Linked DNA regions of Notamacropus eugenii. The protein of the gene in region 2 purifies or fractionates together with the protein of the main gene of each other region. This does not show direct contact. Links are inferred from orthologs where the notes say so. Each region holds a gene or a part of one and is shown on either strand. Other genes may lie near its edges. The genes, in order: PPP1R11, UBXN2A and PPP1R7.

What was found.
Region 1: the proteins of UBXN2A (region 2) and PPP1R11 purify together in Homo sapiens (affinity purification with mass spectrometry; 3 studies listed by BioGRID and IntAct, counting the BioPlex papers as one, with this or other methods). This does not show direct contact. The link is inferred for Notamacropus eugenii from reciprocal best matches to the Homo sapiens genes UBXN2A and PPP1R11.
Region 3: the proteins of UBXN2A (region 2) and PPP1R7 purify together in Homo sapiens (affinity purification with mass spectrometry; 3 studies listed by BioGRID and IntAct, counting the BioPlex papers as one, with this or other methods). This does not show direct contact. The link is inferred for Notamacropus eugenii from reciprocal best matches to the Homo sapiens genes UBXN2A and PPP1R7.

Annotation. Positions count from the first base shown.
Region 1 is NC_092873.1:83,983,456-83,987,197, forward strand, and holds the start of PPP1R11 (E3 ubiquitin-protein ligase PPP1R11), read left to right. Parts: upstream 1-1,252; 5' UTR 1,253-3,064; coding exon 3,065-3,148; intron 3,149-3,742. UniProt on the Homo sapiens protein: Atypical E3 ubiquitin-protein ligase which ubiquitinates TLR2 at 'Lys-754' leading to its degradation by the proteasome.
Region 2 is NC_092872.1:761,347,670-761,351,411, forward strand, and holds the start of UBXN2A (UBX domain-containing protein 2A), read left to right. Parts: upstream 1-1,210; 5' UTR 1,211-1,355; exon of another isoform or gene 1,356-1,417; intron 1,418-3,742. UniProt on the Homo sapiens protein: Acts to repress the ubiquitination and subsequent endoplasmic reticulum-associated degradation of CHRNA3 by the STUB1-VCP-UBXN2A complex in cortical neurons.
Region 3 is NC_092877.1:378,106,535-378,110,276, reverse strand, and holds the start of PPP1R7 (protein phosphatase 1 regulatory subunit 7), read right to left. Parts: upstream 2,191-3,742; 5' UTR 2,102-2,190; coding exon 2,047-2,101; intron 1-2,046. UniProt on the Homo sapiens protein: Regulatory subunit of protein phosphatase 1.

The DNA.
Region 1 (3,742 bases), on a different chromosome or scaffold from region 2:
CTCCAAATGGGATCACAAAGAGTTGGACGTGACTGAACAATAACAACACAAAAATAGGAAAGACAGGTTTAGGAGGAAGGCGTTCTGCTTTAGACATGTTGAGGCTAAATTTGTGATACGGCACTAGATCTGTAAAAGATAAGAACTAAATATTTCCATTTTTGAGTCATCTGTATAGATGACTTAAACCCATGACTCATTACACTCATAGAAGTCAATAAGATCAAGGCAGATTGCCCAAAACAGAGCTCTATGTTACATCCACACATAAAAGTGTTTAAAATGATCAAACCATTGAAGGAGACTGAGAAGGAAGGGTCACACTGAAAGGGGACTATAAAAGCAATTTCATGAAAACCCAAGAAGAGTGTCAGAAAGTGAGGGTGGAGTGCAGTGTAGAGGGTGTCAAGAGTATCATGCTTAAACAAGGTTGACAGAAAGATGAAGACTGAAAAAAAAGTCACGGAAGTTAAAGATTAAGAGATCATTAGTAACCTTTCAAGCAAGCAGTTTAAATTGATTGGTGGATTCAGAAGCCAGACTGCAAAGGATTAAATGGAAAGTGGAGAAAATGTAGATAGCTTTTCTTTCTAGGAGTTTTGCAGTAAAAAGAGGAATACATATAAAGGGTGTCCCAAACTTAGTGCAGTTTTAAGATACTGCAATATTAAATTTTATGAGCTTAAAATTGCACTGTCTTTTTGGGATACCCTGTATATATAATTGATAGCCTGAGGGAACAACAAATCTGGGCATGTTTGTAGAGAACAGGGAAGGAGCAAGTACATAAAGATTAAAAATTAGAGGACAACTGATGGGGAAAGCTTAAAGAGAGGACAGCAAGAAATAAGATAGCTCAAGGGCACAGGTTGAAGGAAGTTAGCCTTTATGAGGACTACCTCTTCCTCTGGTACCAGTGTAAAGTAATATAGAAGGGGACAAGGGGGAACCAGAGTGGTGATGAGGAGATATGAGGTGAAGAGTTTGGAGGAAACAGTGACTCACAATGAATGACCTTAATTTTATCAGTAAAGCACAGTAAAGATATTTTGCTAGAGGGGAGGGGAGAAGAATGGGGTAAGCTTATAAGAAAAGAAAACTGGAAACAATCCATGTGGGGAATACAATGGGAGTAATCTATTAGGGAAGAGTAAAATATTTGCAATTCAGCTGTGACAAGTTGCTGTTTCATGATGTGTTATGGTGGAACTGTCTCAAAAAATTCAGTCAGACCACCTCTCATTCAAGTATAAGCATTTATTAAGATTGACGCCTCATGAAGCAGGCTAAGTTTGAAGAGGAACCAGCAGCTTCAGAGAAAGCAAGATAGATTTCTATAGGGTAAAGATGCAATTATGTAACAGAAATTATGAATATTTAAAAGGCAGGAGGGGTTTGTTAAGGGATTAGGTGTAAGGGATTAGGTAATAGGGGAGGGGTCCCACCCACAGTAGAACTGCACGTATGATTACTTACAATGTATTCAGAAAAACCCATTTGGGGAGTATGTATGTATAGTCTTTCTATGTCATAAATTCATCTAAAGGACAACTTTTGCTATTACTTCAAAGGTGCTTACTTATGGAAAATCCCTTCTACCGTTTTGAGGTCCACATCCTGCTTGAGCCTCCTGTGGTGCTGCTTTCTGATTGGCTCGGTATTGTGGTCCGGTCTGAGACCACAAGGATGGGGTTGTGGTTGAGTGCATGGAAATACCTGCTGTTTCTGTGGGAAATAAGAGAAATGGGTCTAGGGGCGGTGACTAGCTAAAGGCAGTGGCTTCGTAGAGGCAGTGGCTGGGATCCCATCACATGTACACACCTGCTGCTTCTGTGAGAAATATGAGTTCAAGGACACACCTGTTGTTGTAGTGAGCAGTGAGACATAAATGAATAAGTGAAGATATTGATTGGGGGTTCGGGGACGGGGGCAGTGGGCCTGCAGTTCAGTGGAGCCTATAAGGAAGTTAGAATATTGGGGCTGCAGGCAGCTTTATGAGGATTCCATCGGTGAGAACCCACTCCACTGCCATGAACAGATCTATGGTGCTGACATCCTTCGTTGGCATTCAGCAACCAGAAAGTAGGACCAAAGGTGGATGGCAGAGGTAGGTCAGAAAAGAACACTGGAAAGGAATGAGCAGGACATAACACAGTGTCACCATTTCAAAGGAAGGAACGTGCTGCCAGAGTAGGTGTAATGCCCACGACAAAAGCTTCCCACAAAAAACAGCAGCTTTTTCACCAGCCTTTGTGCCCAGCGACAAAGAAAACTCTGAGACGGACTGCACAACATTAAGGAATGTTAACCGCTGTAATCACTGGTAATTTTTCAGGACTTCAGGCATTTCCGTGAGTCTGGGGGTACACGAGCTACGTCCACTATCAAACTGCATGACCTAGGAGGGACCAACGTACTGGTCAAGCAGGAGCGTCTTAGAGAACTCGAGGCGCGCTCCGCATCTCTCGGTTTCTGGCTCACCAATTTCCCCGGGCCTCCATTCCTGCGGAGAATGAGGAAGGGATGTTGTTTTGATGGGAGGACCTAAGATTTCGCGTTTCCTCCAGCGCAGAGGGATCCTTTGTCTTCCCAGCGGCAGATCAAGTTGGACAGCAGCTGGTGCCTGTGCGGAGCCGCCTTCCTCCACGCCAACGCGGTCGCTTCACTGCTGCGCTTGCGCATCTGGCCCTGACTCTTGCTCGTTGCGCGGCCTCCTTCGCCCAGCGGGCGCCCCCAAGCGTTCGTAGACTCTCGGTCAAGTAGCCTTGGCTCCCTCGCCGATTACGGCGGAAGTCGTTCTGGAGCGCCTGCGCCTTTGGCCGTTTACGATTAGTGGGGAGACGAGCCGGGTGCGGAGGAACGTCATACCCGGAAGTCAAGAGACGGAAGTGGGGGTGGGCTCCTTGTCCTCGGGGGGCGGGGAAGTCGAGACCAAAGAGGAGCAACAACAACTCGACCCTGACTCCTACTTCCCCCGACGCCGGAGGCTTAGACTCACCCAGAGAGCCAGAGAAAGGAAGATTACGCCTCCCCCGACGTCCTTCTCCCACCCTCAGCCCCCGCCATGGCCGAGGCCACGGCTGGGCTGAGCGAGACCGTCACCGAGACATCGGTTACTGTGACAACCGAACCCGTGAGGAGGACAGGGGTGTGGAGAACCTAGCGTAGACAGGGAGAGGATGACGGAGGAGAGGGGGAGGGAAAGGATGCCCGAGGGAAAGAGTGGGGGAAGGGAGGGGAGGAAAAGGATGCTCGAGGGGACAGGAAGGGAGAGGATGGAGAAAGGCGGCCACGGGGGAGGGGTCAGTAGCGGTGGGGAGCCGATTTGGGAGGAATACGTCATGGATTTTCAGGGAACGGAAGAAGTCTTGGATGGGGGTGTCAGGATCAGGACCCAGTGTTTGGCTGGGTCTTAAAAGAGATTTGGAAGAGGGCATCAAGGCAGGGTTGGGTGATCAGATGAGAAAGAGGAACTGGAAGGAGAGGGACCTGAAGTCAGACAGCAGCTTGGGGACGAGATGGGGAGCTGTGAAGTGTTTAGGAGACTAATGGGAAAAAATGCTTGGAGTCTAGAGGTTGGGGAGGTTGGACTTAGAATGAGATTGGGGGGAATGCTAGGCAGGAGAATGAAGAGAGACAATAGGATGATCAGGACCTGGTTTAAGGGTAAGAACTTCCGACCCTCCCACCTCCCTCACCCATCTTCTGCTCTTGACTTAAGTGGAAACGTAAAAGGAGAAAG
Region 2 (3,742 bases):
AAGTTCAGGGCCTGCCCTAGCCAAACCCCGGCCTGAGGGTTAGTAATCCAGTCACTTCTGATCTGACTTCTAAAAAGGGAGAAAGGGTGTCAAAAGACCCACTCCCTTTCCAAACCCAACTGGCCCACTCCCCTCCCATTAGAAAGGGAGCTCCTTCCTTAGTAGCTTAGTCCCTCCACTAGTCAGTGAATGGGCAAGCTTTAAGTGCCTACTAAGTGCTGGGCAAGTCCAGGGACACATGGGGCCTCCCCAATCCCAGCTCCTCTCCCCTCCCACTGCCATCATCCCCACTCTCTCCCCGTCTCCTACTGCCCACAGACAAGCCACATCTCCCCCATCACTCCTTCCATCCCTGCTACTGTTCCTTTTCTGGCTAACCTTGAGAAGGCTCCTCCCCCTCTCACTCTCTGCTTACCTTTGGGCTTCCAACCTCATCCTTGCACCAGTAGTGACCATCAGTCGTAGTTGCCTCACTGTCCTCCACCCCTCTGCAGCCTCAGACACCATCCATCATGATTTCCTCGAGGTGTTCAGAACATCCCACCCCCACCCCCCATTCTCCCTCTCCGTCCGCCCTGCCTAACCATGGGGGTCCCCCGGCGCTCTGTCCTGTTCCTCTCCTCTTCTCCCTCTAGACCACTTTCCTGGGGGAATCTCCTCAGCTCCGTGGATTTGATGACCGTCTCTGAGAGGGTGACTGCCAGATCTCCCTGTCCTGCCCCAGCCTCTCCGCAGAGCTCTAGTCTCTCCTCCCCAACTGCCCATCAGACATCTCCAGCCGGATGTCCAGTAGACACATGCAGCTCCTCTCTGTCCCCCCACCTCCCCGCCTGCCCTGGCCGCCCCTCTGGCTCCAGGCTCTCAGCCCGGGCAGCCGCGGTTCCTCCCTCTGCTCCGCCCCCCCCATCTGGTCAGTTTCCAGGTCTGTCAGTTTCACGGGCTCCGCCTCCCACCTCCGGGCCTTTCTCCCGGCCCGGCCCTGCCCAGAGCTGGAAGCCAAGCCCGGACTGGCCTGAGCCTGCGACCCGAAGGTCACCCCAGGCTCCTCTGGGCCTGAGCAGTCCGCCCGCGGGCAGGGCAGGAACTTGGGGACTGGAACCCAGCGGGGGACATCCCCCCGCCCCGCCCCCGGCTCCCCAGGGGGTGCCCAGCCTCCGACCCTCCCCCGCGGGGGCTTGGCCCGGGCCTCCCGCGGGCTCGCTCCCGCCGCCGGGACTGCGCACGCTCGTGCACGTCCGGCCCGGAACCCAGAGGAAGAGGAGGAGGAGGAGGAGGAGGAAAAGTCAGGCCTGGGGGATCAGCTTGGAGAGTTAGGCGGGCGTCCCGGCGGTGCGGACGCGCACGGCTGCGAGCAGGTGAGAGAGGAGACCTAGGGGAGAGGCCTGGACCCTGGGCTGACGTGACCTCGGAGGCAGAGGTGGGTGGGGACCTAGGGGGAGGGGAGAGGCCAGTGCTGGGTCCAGGCGTGGGGTGGAGACTGTTTCAGGGGTTCACTGAGTAGGTGAGCAGAGCCCGGCCGACCGCAGACTCTGTATGTGACCTGAGCCAGGAGTTGGGGAGGGGCCCCTGGGACCGAAGCTCCTTCGGAGCTCACCAGCAAGGTCTGGGCAGGCCCCCTACCGCAGGGTGTCCCCGGACCTCCTCCCCTGAGCTGTGCTCCCCCTCCCTCACCTGTACCCTGCCCTGACTGGGGGATAGGGGCGGGAAATGGACCCCAAAGGAACCAGCCTGGGGAGGGCCCCCAAAGGAGGGCTGAGAAGGGTGGAGCCCAGCTCCCCCCATGCCATGGAGAGCCACAGGGGCAGTGAGACTCCAAGGATTGAGAAGACAGTGGAGACGGGGAAGTCTGGTGTGAATGTCAGCCTGTGAGCAGTGGGGAGGCAGGCCCTGGAAGCTAGAAAAGTGACCAGAGGGGTCAGAGGAAGTCTCTGAGGAGAGGAGATGATTTTGGGGGGAGGAAAGGGGGGGACATGGACAAGACCCCCAGCCAGGAACACCCAGGGAAGAGGAATAAGACCAGACCCTTGAGCGCATGAGGTGGATTTGGCACACTGTAGCATGGGGACCCTGGAGCAGCCTGGTCGTTCTAGGCACCATGTTTGGGAACCCAGAGGACACTGCAGCTCAGAAGGGCGGTGAGTTGGAAGTCATAGGGCTAGTCCAAGGACCTGGGGGTGTTTAGGGCTTGTGTGGGCCTGGCTGCCTGCACCCCTCCCCCATTTCCTCCTTTTCTCATCTTTACCACTTTGGGTTAGGGGGAATGAGGAGACACCAAAGTGTTTTGAAATGAGTTTATTGCCACTTTGGGGTTTTTTGTCGCAGTCCTTGTCAAATATATTCTTTTCCCAGGGAGGCCTCACTTAATACAAGAGTCCCTTCCACCTTCCTGTAGCTTCTCACCCCCGGGGTGCCCCACCTTGGCCTTGAAGGGAAAGTGGTGCTCAGTCTCCTTTCTGGATCCTGGGGGCTCTTTGTATGACTGGGGTCGCCATCAGCAACGCCCTTCTCCTGACTCTGCTCAGCCCCCAGACCCTACCTGCTGCCTCTGCCCATGCTCCTATAGGGTCTATGTGTTCTCCATAGCTCAGCCCTCAAAACCCTTCCCCCACTGACCCCAGTTACTTTGAGGCCTGCAGAAATGGTCTGTGCATCAGGGAGCTATGTGTCTTCTGAATCTTGAGGTCAGAGGGGAAGCGGAAGGGTGTGGGTCACTGGTCACTCCACCAACCAACAGCGTGTCTTTGTCCTGCAGCTTCTCTCCTCTGACAGTTTGCTGGGTCTGATGGACCATGTCACGGTTATACTCATGTCCACTTCCCTGATTTCTCTTCTAGTGGTCATTAGTAAGTTGGCTAGTCTTCTAAGAAGTGTTGACCCCTTATCCATTGGGGATAGCTCTTGGACATACACATACTTGTGTATGCGTGCATCTACATACACATGAACATGTGTATATGCGTGTGTGTATACCTTTGTATCTGTGCCGGTGTGTGTCTGCGTGTTTTACGTTTGTTTTATGTTCTAGTTATAGTAAATTTTTTGTTTAGTATTTAATATTCGTCCATATGTGTCTTGGACAGCAAGCCCTTCTCACAGGTATTTGCAAAGATGTTTTTCCCCAGTTGTTCATTTCCTTCTCATCTGAGGTGCATTGATTTTGTTGGTGTCAAACTTTTTAATTTCACATCGCTGAAATTATCTATTTTGGTTCAGGGTTCTTTGCCAGTTGTTGCTCTGCCTTCCATGCTCTGATTTCTTTAAATCTAAAAATGCTTTTACTGGTACCTTGCCTAAATTTCCTCAAAGTATTTCATTAGATTAAATGAAATAACTACTTGCCAGACTCTCGGCAAATCTTAGTCTAGATAAATGGTAGCCATCGTTATTAAGTCATGCTGTTCTTGGGGGCGGGGTGTGGGGGTGGGGGAATAGGTGTGGACTAGACCATAGGTAATGTAATCTGATGAATGCTTGGGATGGCCAGACTCAAAGAGAAGTCAGTCACTCCATAAACACTTGTAAGGCGTCTTCTCTGTGTTCCAAACACTGCCTGTGGGGGGAAATGCAAAAAAGAGGCAAAAGACATTCCCTCTGAGAGTTCACAATCTAAGGGGAAGATGAGCATACAAACAGAACAATGTCTAGCTATGTAAAAGGAATAATTGGGTACAGGGATGTTTGAAGAAGACCAGCCCCCCTGGCATGAGGGCTGCTTTCCACCTCTAGTGTCCACCTGATTCAC
Region 3 (3,742 bases), on a different chromosome or scaffold from region 2:
ACCGCCCCACGGGGCACCTGAGGAAGCCCTGACGGCACAGGTGCCCCCGCCCGGACAGGGCAGCCCGTGCCCGCGGCGCTGCCGCTGCCTCAGGACAGCCGTCTGAATGCTCGGTGGTTTAGGACACATCTCAGTCTCTCCTTCTGCCGTTCTCGTGACTCCCCTCCTCTGGACACCCCACGGGGCCCGAGCCTCCGAGACCCCACGGAGCCCGTGCCTCAGCCCGAGCCTCCGACACCCCGCGGCGCCCGGGCTGAGCCTCCGAGACCCCATGGAGCCCGAGCCTCAGCCCGAGCCTCCGACACCCCGCGGCGCCCTAGCCTCCGACACCCCACGGGGCCCGAGCCTCCGAGACCCCACGGAGCCCGAGCCTCCGACACCCCACGGGGCCCGAGCCTCCGAGACCCCACGGAGCCCGAGCCTCCGAGACCCCACGGCGCCCTAGCCTCCGACACCCCACGGAGCCCGAGCCTCCGACACCCCACGGGGCCCGAGCCTCCGAGACCCCACGGGGCCCGAGCCTCCGAGACCCCACGGAGCCCGAGCCTCCGACACCCCACGGGGCCCGAGCCTCCGAGACCCCACGGAGCCCGAGCCTCAGCCCGAGCCTCCGACACCCCACGGGGCCCGAGCCTCCGAGACCCCACGGCGCCCTAGCCTCCGACACCCCGCGGGGCCCGAGCCTCCGACACCCCGCGGAGCCCGAGCCTCCGACACCCCGCGGAGCCCGAGCCTCCGAGACCCCGCGGGGCTCGAGCCTCTGACACCCCACGGGGCCCGAGCCTCCGAGACCCCATGGAGCCCGAGCCTCAGCCCGAGCCTCCGACACCCCGCGGGCCCGAGCCTCCGAGACCCCGCGGAGCCCTAGCCTCCGACACCCCGCGGGGCCCGAGCCTCCGACACCCCACGGGGCCCGAGCCTCAGCCCGAGCCTCCGACACCCCGCGGGCCCGAGCCTCAGCCCGAGCCTCCGACACCCCGCGGGCCCGAGCCTCCGAGACCCCACGCTCCTTGGAGCGGATCGCCAGGGAGGGCTGTATTCAGGAGGCGGGGCACGGCCGTCCCGCGCCGGGCTCAGCAGGGGGGCAGCCTGGCCTGGCGCTCTGAAGGGGGCGGGCACTCCACGGGGTCTCCTGTTTGACAGAGGAGGACCCAGGAATGCCCACGGTCACACGGGCCCCAGGAAGCTGCGCACAGAGGCCCTGGAGGACAGCCCGCTCTCCCTCCCACAGAACGCTGCTTTCACGCGGGGCACTCCTGTCCGCCCGCGGAGGCTTGGGCCGCTCCCTTCTCCGCCTGGCCAGTCCCCACCCAGAGTTCAGAGTCCACTGCCAGGGCGCTGCCCACCCCTGCGTGCCAGGCGCTGGAGACATGGAGACGAGGGTGACCAGCCCCTGGCCTCGAAGGGCTTAACGTGTCCGTGAGAGAGAGACCCTGTGCCCAGGCCGGGGTGTATATGGGGAACGCTGACTCTGAGTCTATCCAGGGGCTCCTTGTGGGAAGATGGTGGGGGGGCAGGGAGGGGGCCAGCAGGGACCGTCAGCGCTTCCGTGCACTGCACCCCAAAGCACCCGCTGTGTGCAAGGACCCCCCCCCCCCCCCAACCCCGGGGCTCACCGCACACCATCCGCCTCTGGGAACTCTAGGTTCCCACCGCGGCGCCTCTGCTCCGGGCGCTGCCCCCGCCAGGAATGCCCGCCCCCAACCCCAGGACGGATCGGCTGGGGAGCGCTCCCGGATGGCAGGGCCGCCGCCTCAGGCTCGGTCCCCCCAGCACCCGGAGCGGGGTCTCCAGGGGCCGAGGGTAGCCTGGACAGGGGAGGCCGGCGCCCTCCGCCCCCACCGGCGCGTCCCCCAGTCCGGAGGGCGGGCGGCCCGCGCAGCGCGCTCCGGCATGCCTCAGTTTCCCCCTCCGGAAGGGGGACGCGACGCTGGGCCTAGGCCACGGACGCGGCAGGGCGGGCTGGATCCACGCGAGCCTCGAGGGAGGAAAGGGGCCCACCCCGCCCCCGCCGCCCGGGCCGCCTCCCCCGCAGGGGCCGCTCACCCTCCATCATCTCCTGCGGCGGCTGCTGCAGCCCCGCGCCGCCCCCCGACGCCATGTTGGTGGCTCTTCTCTTTTCCGGAAGCTGTCGCCGCAGCTCCTCAGCCAATCAGGGAGTCGGATTCAGCCGCCGGCAGGCCAATCGGCTTCGCCGTGGCTGAATGACCGGAGTGGCATGCGGTGCGCATGTGTGGCTCCCGAGGCCTCTTGGGAGTTGTAGTTTCAAAGGGGAAAGTTGTGACAGCTGGAGGGAGAGGGAGGGGCGGGGAAGAGGAGATGGGAGGGAGGAAAGGAAGAGGGAGAAGGGAAAAAGGGAAGGAGGAGGGCCAATGAACGAGGAGGGGCTGGGAACTGCGTCCGGAATGGGAGGAGGAGGGGGAGGACGGGAGGCTGATGTGACCTGGGGAGGAGGCAGCACGTGCTGCTGGCATCCCCGGCGCAGCCCGGGGCGGTGCGGGCGGCTCCCCTGGTGCCAACGCCCCCTCGGGACGAGGACCCCGGGCTGTTCATCCTTTCGGGGGGGAGCCACTGGACAGCCAGCGGCATCTCCGGAAGGCTCCTTCTTTCCGGGAAGCTGTCTGGGGCAGGGGCTTCTCTCTCTCTCTCTCTCTCTCTCTCTCTCTCTCTCTCTCTCTCTCTCTCTCTCTCTGTCTCTCTCTCTCTCTGTCTCTCTCTCTCTCTGTCTCTCTCTCTGTCCTTCTCTGTCTCTCTCTCTCTCTCTTCTTTCTTTCTTTCTCTCTCCTCTCTCCCTCTTTCTCTCTCCTCTCTCCCTCTCCCCCTCTCCTCCTCTTCTTCCTCTTCCTTCTCCTTTTCAGAGCCCAGCACAGACTAGGCACCTCGCTGAGTCCCCACCCCGGCTCCAGTCTGGTGACACTGGCCTTCTTGCCTCCATCTCCCGCCTCCAGGCTCTTTCCCTGACTCCCTCCGTGCCTAGCACTGCCTTCCCCTGGCTGACGCTGAGCCAGACCCGGTTGGCACCTTTCCTGGCAGGCCCTCCCTCCTCCCTCCGCCACGTCCCACAGGCAGCCTCGCCCTCCCCTTGACTTAGGTGCCTTGTCCTGGGGATTCTCTCTAGCTCATCCCGTCTTTGGCTTGTGGGGTGCTTCTCCCCCGTTGAGCTTTAAGCTCGGGGGGCAGGCGCTGTCTTTCTGTGCCCCCGGGGCTTAGCCCACCGCAGGGCACGTGCTGGGCGCTTGTGGACCGACTTCTGTCTTTGCGGTCCGGCCAAGAGCGCAGCGGCTCCGAGCCGGGTCCTCTGTCTCCAGGCGGCTGGTGTGACCCTGGGCAAGTCCTCTGCCCTGCGGGATGCCCCAGGAGCGGCGCCATCTCCGCCGTCTTCCATCTATTAGCCGCGCTGCGAGGCTGGGCTGGGCACGGGCGGGTCTGACACCGAGATCCAGCCCGGCCCGGCGGGGAAGGCCGGATCCCACGCGGGGGACCGCGGACGGGGCGAGCCGGGAGGGCTGCGTGGAGGGGACGGCCGAAGGCCGCCGCGGGCCCCGGGGACGGCCTGGGCCGGTGCGCGGAGAAGTTCCGTAGGCTTCCTGGAGGGAGATGGGCTCGGGACGCGGAGCGGCGCCCGCAGTTGAGCAGCTCCGGGAGCGTTCCCCTTTTGGCCCCCGCCGGCCCCCGTAGCCCAGGCTCCGTGCGTCCCTAGCAACCGTTGTGCGCGCTTCTGCCTTCGGAACCCTCGGATCCC